3 linked regions of the Bombyx mori genome follow. The protein of the gene in region 3 purifies or fractionates together with the protein of the main gene of each other region. This does not show direct contact. Links are inferred from orthologs where the notes say so. Each region holds a gene or a part of one and is shown on either strand. Other genes may lie near its edges.

What was found.
Region 1: the proteins of rapamycin-insensitive companion of mTOR (region 3) and target of rapamycin complex subunit lst8 purify together in Homo sapiens (affinity purification with western blotting; 14 studies listed by BioGRID and IntAct, with this or other methods). This does not show direct contact. The link is inferred for Bombyx mori from reciprocal best matches to the Homo sapiens genes RICTOR and MLST8.
Region 2: the proteins of rapamycin-insensitive companion of mTOR (region 3) and Ywhae purify together in Homo sapiens (affinity purification with mass spectrometry; 4 studies listed by BioGRID and IntAct, with this or other methods). This does not show direct contact. The link is inferred for Bombyx mori from reciprocal best matches to the Homo sapiens genes RICTOR and YWHAE.

Annotation. Positions count from the first base shown.
Region 1 is NC_085114.1:11,954,794-11,959,234, forward strand, and holds the start of target of rapamycin complex subunit lst8, read right to left. Parts: upstream 2,855-4,441; 5' UTR 2,581-2,854; coding exon of another isoform or gene 2,449-2,580; 5' UTR 2,122-2,448; coding exon 1,939-2,121; intron 1,848-1,938; coding exon 1,698-1,847; intron 1,197-1,697; coding exon 1,135-1,196; intron 726-1,134; coding exon 572-725; intron 73-571; coding exon 1-72.
Region 2 is NC_085122.1:14,131,447-14,135,552, forward strand, and holds the start of Ywhae (14-3-3 epsilon protein), read left to right. Parts: upstream 1-1,188; 5' UTR 1,189-1,299; coding exon 1,300-1,363; intron 1,364-4,106. UniProt on the Homo sapiens protein: Adapter protein implicated in the regulation of a large spectrum of both general and specialized signaling pathways. Binds to a large number of partners, usually by recognition of a phosphoserine or phosphothreonine motif.
Region 3 is NC_085128.1:9,698,405-9,702,620, reverse strand, and holds the start of rapamycin-insensitive companion of mTOR, read right to left. Parts: upstream 2,867-4,216; 5' UTR 2,665-2,866; coding exon 2,625-2,664; intron 2,494-2,624; coding exon 2,214-2,493; intron 1,644-2,213; coding exon 1,512-1,643; intron 488-1,511; coding exon 312-487; intron 1-311. UniProt on the Homo sapiens protein: Component of the mechanistic target of rapamycin complex 2 (mTORC2), which transduces signals from growth factors to pathways involved in proliferation, cytoskeletal organization, lipogenesis and anabolic output.

The sequences.
Region 1 (4,441 bases), on a different chromosome or scaffold from region 3:
ATTAACAGCCGCCATCATCTTGCCGGCTGGATCAATAGCTATGTCCTGAATCGACGCCTCCGCTTCTGGTATCTAACAAAAATAAGGATAAATAGTATAATATTTATGTGTAACATGTAAATGAAATAAACATGGTTTATTTAAATTGAATTATGTGGTTGGACAGGCACTTGGCTAATGATTGATCAATTACTAGAGCTTATCAATAAAACATAAATGCTCAAAACTGATGATTGTTTCGTGGAAAAAAAAAGGTAGGATGGTGGTCCATACACAAGTGGGTTTATAATACATCCAACCATCAATCAACCTATTAAGGACAGCAGAAATATGTTATAATATACAGAAAATACTACTGGCCATTCTCTAGTAAATACCTCAGTAGCCTTTCTATATATCCATTATGAGCATATTGGTGATATCATGTTGGCATCAGCTTTTTATGCAGGAACACTACTGAATAGGATGCGGAGATAGAGTGTTCCTTTCACTTTTGTAGCTCACCACAACATACTGTATTATAGCTTCTCAGCTGATAGTGGATGTAAAAAAATATATATAGTAAAGTTACCAGTTGTTCATTTTGATCCGTTTTCAGATCCCATATATGTATAATGCCACTCTGGTCTCCAACCATTATCTGGGACTGATCAGGATGAAGCATTACTGCATTCACCGGAGCTTGAACTTGGAATATCTTTTGACACCTTGTACGTGGTGCAGCCCTACATGAGAAACATGCCGCTTTAAAATTTCTATACTAAGCTTTCTAGGTCCAGTCAGTAAATTGTGTTTTTAAACTCAATAAAAGTTAAAGTTTAATTTCAGAGATCAGCAGACAACCTCATGGTCTCCTAGTGTAAATAGTTATTAGCTTCTATGATCTAAATTTTGATTTTATTCCATAACCATTAGCATTACACTTGACAGCTTTAAAGCAGGAATCATATCTTCATACCACCAGTAAATATCAGTTGGTGAATCTTTTATAATAAGCACGAATATAACGAATGATATAAGGTGCTGCATTGTCATCTAGCATCAGAGAAACCTCCAAACATCATTTGGCCAAGGTTAGAAAACACAAATGATGTTACCTAATAACTGGTTGATATAATACATAGCGTCTTTAACCTGGGATCCCATATCCTGGCTGTGCAGTCCTCACCTCCTGTGTACATCCAAGTGCCATTTTTCTGCAAAGTTACAATTTAAAAAAAAAAAAAATTAATGACTTGTCTTATTGTAATAGATGTGTTCACAAATTAAATATCCAATCATAAATATACATAGTTTTTTTTTTTTCTAAAAGATAACAATCTTGAAAAGTTGTTTGAAAATGAATAACTGATTTTAACATCAGTTTTTGTTTAAAAACTGCATGTCGACACAATTTGTGTGTTTTTCAAATTGTTGCCCTAGAAATAATTATAATCTCAAAGATTTATAGTAATTCCTATGCCAGTGAGATCTCAAATATTTAAAGGACACTGAAGATCCAGTTTCAACTGAATGAGTTTTGAACTGAGAAAAGAAATATATTTTTTTTTCTATTCCTGGCAAATATTTAGAGACATATATTAAAGACACGTACTTCCTGTAGTTTACTGTCAGTGACACCTAGGTCACAAATAATCTACCTGAAGGTCATGTATATATTGTTTTCAACAAATTTTAATTGAATTTATGCATAATACCTGAAACCCAACTCGAGATACGTTTTTGGAGATGTCCTCAAAAGTTGTGACCGGGTCTGGATTGGCACTACTAAGATCATATAACCGTATATGCTGAAATCCAGCTGCTGCTACCATCGATGTTGGTGAGATCTCCAAGCTGTTCACTTGCTGAAAGGAAAACTCGTCATGCAATAAGCTTTAGCTGATTTTCATAATATAATCAGTTTGTAAAAATATCACGAAAGTTAATTTAAGTTACCTCACAAAAGATGACTGGCATGTTAATCTGAATTATATTTGTACAAAGTGGTCTGCTTGTATTAAATCTTAGCTCACAATTATCTGACACTGTCGTGACCAGTTTTAATCGTTTAGGTAATTCTCTTTTTTTGGACATTTTTGCAACTTTACAGGAGAGCCATTTAAAGTTTAAAATTCTCATAATAAAAAAAGTCCATCAGCTATTTGGATGCAGTAAGCTTAATTGATGTTCAATCAAAAACATTGAATTGGTGATAGTTAATACCAAATAAAATGGACCTTTAATTACAAAGATAAATGTCGCGTATTAATCGAAATATCGCTTAATTCAAATAGCCTTTCAGCCCTCGTTATTATTCAAAGCGAAATTTCCAAATCAATTTTTTATGAAAATTTAAAATAATCATGCAAATTTACGGAGCGATTTGAATGAGTTATCTGGAAATGAATTGAGTCATTTTGGTCATTTATAGAAGATCAATAACCGAAACATTAAAATATGAAGTACCGAATCTGGATGCTGCATTGTTCGTAAACAAACACCACTGTGTGCCTGCCATAGCTTGATAGTATGATCGTAGCCTCCTGTTACTAAAGCCACCTGCGATCCTCCAAGAGAAGCAGTGGTATCACCAGCCATTTTATGAAACTTATTGTTTAAGCAATTGGCATATTTATTTCTTAAAAGCACATTTTTTTATTTCCAACTGCCAGGTAATTTTGAAATTTCGGATTTTAATTTTTAATTTCGAACTTTCCGAGCAACATAAATCTTGTATGATGTGATATAATCTACGTTATACTTGAACCGAATTATCGGGGCGCTTTTAATATTACTGTAAATTCTAACTAATGCATCTCATAAAGTCAAAACATAACCAAAACAACACAGCACAGGTAATTCAAAGTTGAATGAAGTTAGCCACTCAAAAAAATTTTTTTTTCCTATTTTATACTTATTTTCTATTAATTCGTTTGTTCATCATTTGTTCATGATTGTTCACTGTTAATAATTGTTTGTTCTGCATTTATTTATTTAAAAAAAATATTTAAAAATATACCTACAAGTTAGCCCCTCTAATGCAATTTTTTATATTTTTTCATCCTTAATGACTCGTAAATATTCATTTTCGATTGTTCTTATATAAAACACGTTTGTCCTCTTTCGAAATTACTCGTTTTTTGTTTAATTTACTATTTTTATTAGTTGAATAAATGTATGCAAAATATGTGTACTGCGCATGCGTCAACTATAATGCCTAAACTTTCCACGCGGTTTTAATCGTAAAAAAAAAACAAATATAAATCCTGAAGGAGCAATTAATTGGTATACAGTTTAATTAAAAAAATTAAAAAATAAATAAATGAAATAATGTGCATTGGCGTTAAGTTAGACCAAATACATTTTTTCCATCCTCTTACCTATCGTATTAAAATGTTATTTTACTAATGTTAGGAATATAATTTCGACTGTGTAAAAAAGTTATTATAATGTATACCTATATTATCTCTTGAAAGATAAATAATGAACATATTTACTTATTTGTTTATATTACCTATGTGAACTCCCTATCTTTTTTATACCTTCATAACGATAAGTAGGAGGATGGAAAAAATGTATTTGGTCTAACTTAACGCCAATACACATTATTTCATTTATTTCTTTTTTAATTTTTTTAATTAAACTGTATACCAATTAATTGCTCCTTCAGGATTTATATTTGTTTTTTTTTCACGATTAAAACCGCGTAGAAAGTTTAGGCATTATAGTTGACGCATGCGCAGTACACATATTTTGCATACATTTATTCAACTAATAAAAATAGTAAATTAAACAAAAAACGAGTAATTTCGAAAGAGGACAAACGTGTTTTATATAAGAACAATCGAAAATGAATATTTACGAGTCATTAAGGATGAAAAAATATAAAAAATTGCATTAGAGGGGCTAACTGGTAGGTATATTTTTAAATATTTTTTTTTAAATAAATAAATGCAGAACAAACAATTATTAACAGTGAACAATCATGAACAAATGAATTAATAGAAAATAAGTATAAAATAGGAAAAAAAAATTTTTTGAGGGGCTAACTTCATTCACCTGACTTGAATCACATTTTCTTTGGATGCCTCCTACGTGACTGTTCCTCATTCATAAATTCCCTGATAAACCTCCGAGTTCCTCTTCCCACATCAATCCCTACATTATTAATAATATTAAAATGTAAACAGTTTTAAAATATAATATTCTTTTTATTTATACCCAATCACTATATATTATGAACTCTTAGGCATTATTATATATTATTATCCTATTACGTACATATCCTTTCCAAATTTCGAACCTTCCAATTGATTCCTAAATAAAACTGGTTTCCCTACCTTTTCCACACTAGTAGTGGCAAATGCACAAACCGTGCGAGTCAAAATATAAAAAAAATAAAAAATACATGCTTCCATCTTGAGGTTTTTTCTTGTTAATCTTTCGTATTTTAATAAGA
Region 2 (4,106 bases), on a different chromosome or scaffold from region 3:
AATCGAATGTTACTTTTTTCAATTACCAGCTTCCGATTATTTTCTGTTTTTTTTTTCCATCTGAAGCCTAGCTCTTTCATAATTCGTCGTAAACTTCATTCCGAGCTATTAAAATGTATATCTTCTTTAAAATTTTCGAAGCCTTTCTACGGTACGGAGTTTCGCTGCTTGTTATGTAGTTATTATGATTACATCTTTTTATTACAGATTGAACGAAACTATCCATTCCGGTAACTTTCTTCTTCCCTGATCTTTTCTTACCCGGAGTCCCAAGCACGACGAGCAAGCCAGAGCCTTTAGCTTTCTTTGTTAATAATGCACCTAACAGTACTCACTGATGTTTTTGTTGCTTCCGAAGTCTGTTTTACTTTTTCATAATATCATTCTTCCCCTGTTTTATAATGAAGCAATATACGTCGTACACAATTTTTCTGCCCTTTCTTTTGAATACTACACAAGTTTGTCGCGGCATAGTGTATTTTTTATAAAAAATCAACAAATACTCAACAAATAGCAATGGCAACAAAGTCAACAAGCAATTATAACAAAATTTATTAACGATTAATAACGATAGACTTTTCACTGTACGCAAGCGTACTTTTGGGAGCAAGCGGAACGAAGGCGCGGTGCGGGACGCAAGGTTCGACTGATCTACCAATAACGCGCTCGATACGATTTCCCCTGCCGTCGCGCCTCACCCTCACCACCAAAGTGATCTAAAATTCGGTTCTGCGCAGTCAAGGTCATTTGCTCACGATGTTTGCCGGTTACTATACTGATCGCGCGTTTCTCTCATTATTGTATTTTCATATATTTGTTAGTCGTTTGTTTTGTGTCTCGTTAATTTGTTAATAATCTGTAGTGTATCGTGTTGTCGTAATATAGAACTATTTCTCGTATTGTTTCGTTTAATTTTTTATATCCAGTAAACTCCAGTCGTGCGTCGGAGCGGACACACACACTTTTTTTTTTTAAATTACAGTTTTTATTTGTTTTTTTGCCTGAACTTTCATGAATCTAAGCTTATTAGAATAACTTTATTTTATATTGGTCAAAGTAGAATAGTAGTAATAAAAATGTAATTTAACCTTCCTTAATTTTTTCATTTCAGTTAAATCAGTAGTTAAATTACTTTTTATCTGGCAGCAAATGTAGAACGGAAGCTGCCTAGTCTATGACGTCATGGGCGGAGTTTAGTTGAAGATCGAATTTGGATTCGGTTGGCGGGCGCGGCCATCTTGGTGAATAAGTGACCTGGCGATTCGGATTTAGTTAGTGTAAAATCATTTGTCATCCACAATGTCGGAAAGGGAAGATAATGTGTATAAAGCAAAGTTAGCTGAGCAGGCTGAGCGCTATGACGGTAAGCATATATTTTTACTGTAATGCTATCATTCAGTCGAAGATTCTATCTTATTTTCGCCGACAATTGAAAAACGATTTTAAGATTCTTTAGAGAATATCCTATGTCCAAGACGTAATTATCATTTCATTTATTTCAATTTTCTATTGCAAATAGCCTTGTAGGTCGCAGTTTGTATATTTGATAATAGAAAAACGAGTCAATGGTATTCATTAGGCTTGGCCTGCGATCGATGCGTCATCCACCGGTGGGATGTCTTAGGTTTTTTACATGAACAAAAACGCTGAATCCATTCTCAACCTGAAATAGAACCTTCATGGTTCAGTTACGATAGTTTTTTCAGTTGTAGAATCGCAACTTTATGACTGAAAGTTTCCAATAAAAGTGATTTTCAAGAATTTGTAGTACCGTTGACCGGGTGTCAGAGGATCTGGATCGATGCGCCACTGGTTTTCTTGTATGTCTGCTATTGTGATCCAGACACATTAGAAACATCTTAGTTATGACGTAGTTTTATGGCGCCTTAGATTTCACCTATTGTTCACAATTTGATGCCACGGGAACTGTCTCCTTAGGGTTTTACAACGATTTCGTCTAACTATATCGCTTTCTGTTAAAGTATTATCATAGTTTTCTGTCATCTTCCTCATGAAAAACTCGGGAGTAATAATTGAAAGTCTGTGAAGGTCCACGGTTCAATGACCTTAGTTACCATTATCATTGAAGAATATCATTGTCAATCTTATCAATGCACAACATGGATGAAATATGAATGACTTGTTACACAACTGTTACACTTCATTTTATTGAGTGCATAAAGATTTTTCATCTTCATCTATCTTTCATCTGCAAAAAACATGGGTGGTATTAGATATGACATTCAATTCTAATTTTTAAAAAAGAAGCCCTAGGCCATCCTTATCCATTTCATCATGGGTTCTAAGTATTGAATATTGCTCTACATACATAGTGTGACATAGAGAAAATTGTAACAGGTTGGTCTGCAATCAGTACATTATTGATTATTTTTATGAACCACTAAAAGTATTGTCAGTGGGACTAAAGTTGACCACACCCTTTTATGGCTTGACCTTCAGCCAATATTTTGCAAGTGTCTTTATTTCATATGAAATTTATTGTAATTTAATTTTAAATATAATTGTGCTAATTTGCAAGTGAATGTCAAACTTAAATGGATTTATAAATTAGAAAGTCTCATTATGTTAGTCACACATATTAAAAGTATGACTTCATTGGAACTTGCCGCATGATGCTATGACTAATATTAATAAAATAAACTTTCAAAAAATTTGAAATATCTATGTTGAAAATAATTTTTGTAGTGTACACTGAATGAGGTTGTAAATTAGAGGATGTTGTATCAGTTCGTACTCATCACATGTGACTGCTGACTGTAATCATTGGCTAATATTTAATAGTGCTACATTGGAAGCAGTGTCTAAAAATTGTAGATTGTAGTTAAAACAAGCCTCACCACGATTGGTCCTGCACTATCTGCATCATTTTGGTGAGGCTTGGGGGAGGTCTATGTCCAGCAGTTGGTGTCTGTGGGCTGAAAGATAGAAGATAGACGTGGTTAAACCAATAGTATAATTCTCATATTTATTTTTAATTCAACTTTTATTTATTTATTACTTAGATGGGTGTACAAGCTCACAGCCCACCTGGTGTTAAGTGTTTACTAAAGCCCATAGACATCTACAACGTAAATACCGCCACTCACCTTGAAATATGAGTTCTAAGGTATAGTAGGTAGTAAGGTATAGTTACAACGGCTGCCCCACCCTTCAAACCGAAACGCATGACTGCTTCACGGCATAAATATAGGCAGGGTGGTGGTACCTACCCGTGTAAACTCACAAGAAGTCCTACCACCAGTAAAACATTACAACATTATTTTTAATTAGGAGTTTTTAAAATAATAAATTCTAATAAACTACATGGCTATATACGTTGGTAGAAAGTAGTGCAAGAAAACAATGTGTGTAGTTGTGTTATAAATCAAGTTTTTTCTTGAACACGACAGGATAGGATGGCCTTCTATTTTGAGGTGATTTTTCAGTAGTTTAGTATGTAACTTTCATGTCCTACTGCACTTTTTAGATTTTTTGGGTCGTACATAATTATTGACTCATGCAACAAACACTTGAAGAACACATCACACACATGCTCTGGTTAATAATTGTGTTAACCAACAAACATGCAGAGGAACCAACTATTTCTGGGAGATTAAAATTGCATTGCAACAAATGCAATGCAGATGAACTTTTTTAACATATAACTTTCTGCATGGGTAACAATAAGATAAATAAATTGGAATTTTAAGAAAGTGTTATCCCCTTACACTGTCTTTTCAAATTACCATTACATCACATTCATTAACTTGACTGACAAATTCAATTCAAACCTCTTTAGAAATATTATATTTGTATTAAACAGTGCTTACTGAGCAAATGAGTTGATTTGTCTAATTTATTTCCCATCTTTATGATTGTTCTTAAGTATCCTATATAATTGTAAACAAAACAATGATATGTTTATTTTCCTTAATAATCTAAACACCTTAAAATGTAGAATAGACTCAGTTCCAACTGCATTAGAAGAATTAATGTAATTAAAATGAATATTATACATTCAGAGACATTTAGCATACTTTGATGATGCTTTAGGGAGGAAAAAATCTTATGTTGATTGGTCTGATGGCTCAGACCAAGATGCCTAT
Region 3 (4,216 bases):
TAGATTAAGTATGTAAATAATTTCACTAAAATGAAGTATTTCAAGATTTTTAGACACCTTAAAGTTGGTGAAAATTGCATTGAATTGTTAACATTAGATAGATACAGGTCAAGTTAATAAAAGCATGTTTAAGAAGTACATTTCGTTTGATGGTATGTGTGTATTATAATTTACATTTAGTTTAAGAGAACGGTTAACAATTAAGATTGGTTTCCAAGTGATACTCTGTTTAGTAAGTCTATCAGAATAAAGGATATTATTATTACTAATTCCCAAAGCCAAGGCTTCTTAATTAAGTATTTTGAACTTACTTATCTCTGCTAATGTGGCCACAGCTGGACGGGATAGTCGATCAGCTGTAGGGTCTGCTGCAAGTGCAGCTAGACATCGAAGAAGTGCTGCTGCAGCTCTCATTGTGCACGCCCGCCGAGCAACACGCATAGCTTGGGCACGTTCTTCTTCATTGCGAATAATAACTTCCATAGATCTATAAAAACATGATAGTCTCACATTTGAAAACTTTCTTCATATTCAGTTTCAATAATTGTTATTTGTATTAACTCTACTATTATGTACATTTTGTGTATACAATGTACATGGCAACTTCTATTTATGAAATTTGTTCATAACATGACACAGTAATTATATCAAATTGATTATTTTTGATTAATGCAATCTATTCATTTTTCAACTGTATGTATTGCCTTTACAGTCAATTATCTATTTTTAGGTATTCTATTCTTAGGAAATACTAGGTATGAGGGTAGTGTTGGCATAGCCAAAACAATTATGTTATACTACTAACACTTAAGTATGTAAAAGGAAAAGGGTATATTAACATAAATATAAAAACTTGTCAGTTTAGAGTTAATATTTGTGCAACTACAATGATGAAAAGACCTCTGAGAAGTAGCTCAATCCTAGACTATGGAATCAGCACCTTGGCTTAGTTTTGTGATCAATTACATTTATTAGTAATGTAACCTTATTAAGCACTAATCATCATTTTATGAACTTTTTTTTTATTGCCTGGATGTGTGGACGAGCTCACAGCCCACCTGGTGTTAAGTGGATACTGAAATCCATAGACATCTACAACATAAATGCGCCACACCCCTTGAGATATAAGTTCTAAGGTCTCAATATAGTTACAACGGCTGCCTCACCCTTCAAGCCGAAACGCATTACTGCTTCACGGCAGAAATAGACGGGGCAGTAGTACCCACCCATGCGGACTCACAAGAGTTCCTACCACCAGTAATTACACAAATTATAATTTTGCGGGTCCCAATATGGCCTTTATTTATGGTCATCACTTTCCGGCTAGCATGTTAGCAGCAGTAGAAATTTGTATGAGAAAAGACTGAATCAAACCAATTAACAAAAACAAACAGGCTTAAAATAAAAATACGTGGGGTCAGCAACATCTTAGCACTGTTTTATAGATATCTCCAGTTTAAAACACAGTTTTTTAAGAGTTTTACAATAAAAAGTGCTTTATTATTTTTTACCTTACAACGAGGTAGGGTAATTTCATATTATTGAAAATAGTGACATCATAATCAGTCTTCAACAAGTGACGTATGACTCTTAAAGCGGCAGCTCGAATAACCATAGACTCATCCACAAGACTAATACGCAAGCTGAAAACAAGAAATATGTTTTAAATAATACCTACTTATGTTTCATATTCTCTAAATAAATGTTAATATTTCCTTCAGTTTTCATAAGTTGTACGCATAATTAAATCTACTGTCTCAGAGTCAGTTTAAGTTATACAAACTGACATACTTCAAGATTATTAATATCTTCTGTGCAAAATGAAACATTAGTGTGGAAATATTATTATAGAAAAACAAAAAGTAGTTAGTTGAAGGTCGACTAACAATACTCAAATGCTGACAACATATTTTTCATACATGACTACAAAAACATCAGAAATAATGAAAAACGTAAGATAAAAACTTAAAAGTTGTTTAAATTATAATATATATAACCATATACAACTTTACAATTTGACATTAGTGTGATTTTTGTGACAAATTATAAGTAACAATAACTTTGTTAAAGACCCTATTTTATTTTAAATACTTACAATACAATATGGCATACAACAATGAGTTTCGGCTATGATACAAGAATATTTATTGAGCTTATAAGATTCAGTATTGAAATTTTGTCACAACAATATAATTTTAATACATAATTCTTACCATGCCATCAACTCATCAGGAGTAAACCCTAGGTTGCTTCTCTCTTCTTTACATAACAATGTTACTAATGCATTCAGGTAGGCCAATTTTCTGCTATCAGTACTACTTCTGTGCATGCCTCTAAATCCTGACCTGTATTCCGTAGGCACAGTTTTGTAGGAGGGAGATGTATCATTTTGTGTTGATTTTCTTACGTAAAGGCCTTGTATTATGTCCCTGATATTCTCTTCCGGAGTTCTATTCTTGATGTCCAACTTAAACAAATCACTTGCAGGTTTTCCTAAAATATGTGATGAAAAATTATAGTCTATGCTGCATGGCAAATAGTAACAGTCGAAGTCAATATAATTGAAAACAACATTAACGTAGAAATTAAACAAATCGTTAATGTAATTTCTACAAATAAATTACCTCTCCTTCGATTCAAAATGTGTTCGGATAAATCCATCATCTCATTTTCAAAAACACAAGCTAAATTCGATATTGTTAAATAGTCACCGCTCTAATTAATTAGTTTTTCTCAGGGTTAAAATAAATTAACTGAATACAGAAAGTGTAATAAAATTACAACCCTGTTTTCCTCGCACACCAACATCACAAATCCACACATTTGATTTTTTTAGACGTCTGACATTCATTGACGTATTTGACAAACTGTTAAAATGTTTAAGTATGATCTATGCTAAGTGAAATTTTTGTTTTGTCAAAGACGCAAATGAAATTGCAATTCTATAAATTCCCATAAGATGATTTTCAACTAGCAAAAGTGTGCTTTGTACGAGCTTTTTAACTCTAGCGGCAAACGTAGGGGAACTGTTCCAACTCCACACAAATTTGAGGCAACTTTTACGCGATCTAGAAGTTAAAAAACTCGCACTAAGCACTTACAAAGCCCCATACTCATGATCAAGTAGCTATCCTTCAACAATCGATTACAATCAGAAGCGGTGTGGTTGTTTTGGAAGCCATAAAAATACTGAAAAAGGTATAGGTATTTTAATGAACTGCAGCTCAGTTGATACACGTATAATATATACGTATATCAACTGAACTACATATACGATATACGAACTACAATATTATACGATGTATGATATACGATATACGTGATATACGCTTATATACTATTTGCAAAGTCGAACTTCGTCATTCCACCAGTGGCGTAGTAACTAACTCATCTGTGACCAATGGTGGGTGTACATTTAGGGCAGTCGGGGCAAGTGCCCAGGGTGGCAAAATTTGAAAGTGAAAAATGGTTTTTTTAGTCTTATCAAGATTGTTCTATATAATTAATTACTTTTATTAATTCATAATTTTCTGTTTAATTGATAATTCAAGAAATTCAATTCATCCATTATTTGCGAATTATAATTTTGGCACTTTTGGAAAAAAAAATTAATAACCAAAATGATTTAATCAATTTATTTCCTTGGGATTTAAAAAAATATCGGATGTTTCTATTTTCTGGAAATAAAGAAATTTAATTAGCATTTTTTAATGTAATGTCATTATGTGTCACCCTTAGTAAAACATTTAAAATTGTTAGAGAAAAACAAATATTTATTTGTTTTTGGAATATTTAACATAATATATAATAAAGCATACAAACAAAAGTTACAAAATATACTACTATTTTGTAACATTGGTTACTGTTCGCGCGACAGCGCGACGTTTGTAAATGTTCGGCTCAACTCGGGTGCCGTCGCCCGTACGCACCCCGCACCTCTCATAACAGTGCGGTACATGACGGCACGCGGAGATACGCTCGTTCGATATTGAGTAAATTGTGCGCGCGCGCCTTTCGATACTAAGTAAAAGGTATAGTGTGAACCGGTGAAAAGGTGTATGTGCCACCCATCGCAGAGAAACACCACTACGACCGTGATAGTGCCAACATCAGCCTCCAAGTAAGTCCCGTTTTCCTACCTACCCTATCGTGTCCGCTTATTCTCCGCAGAGTTCATATGCTCCCTTTCAGCTCATCAGCTCACGTTTAAGGTGAC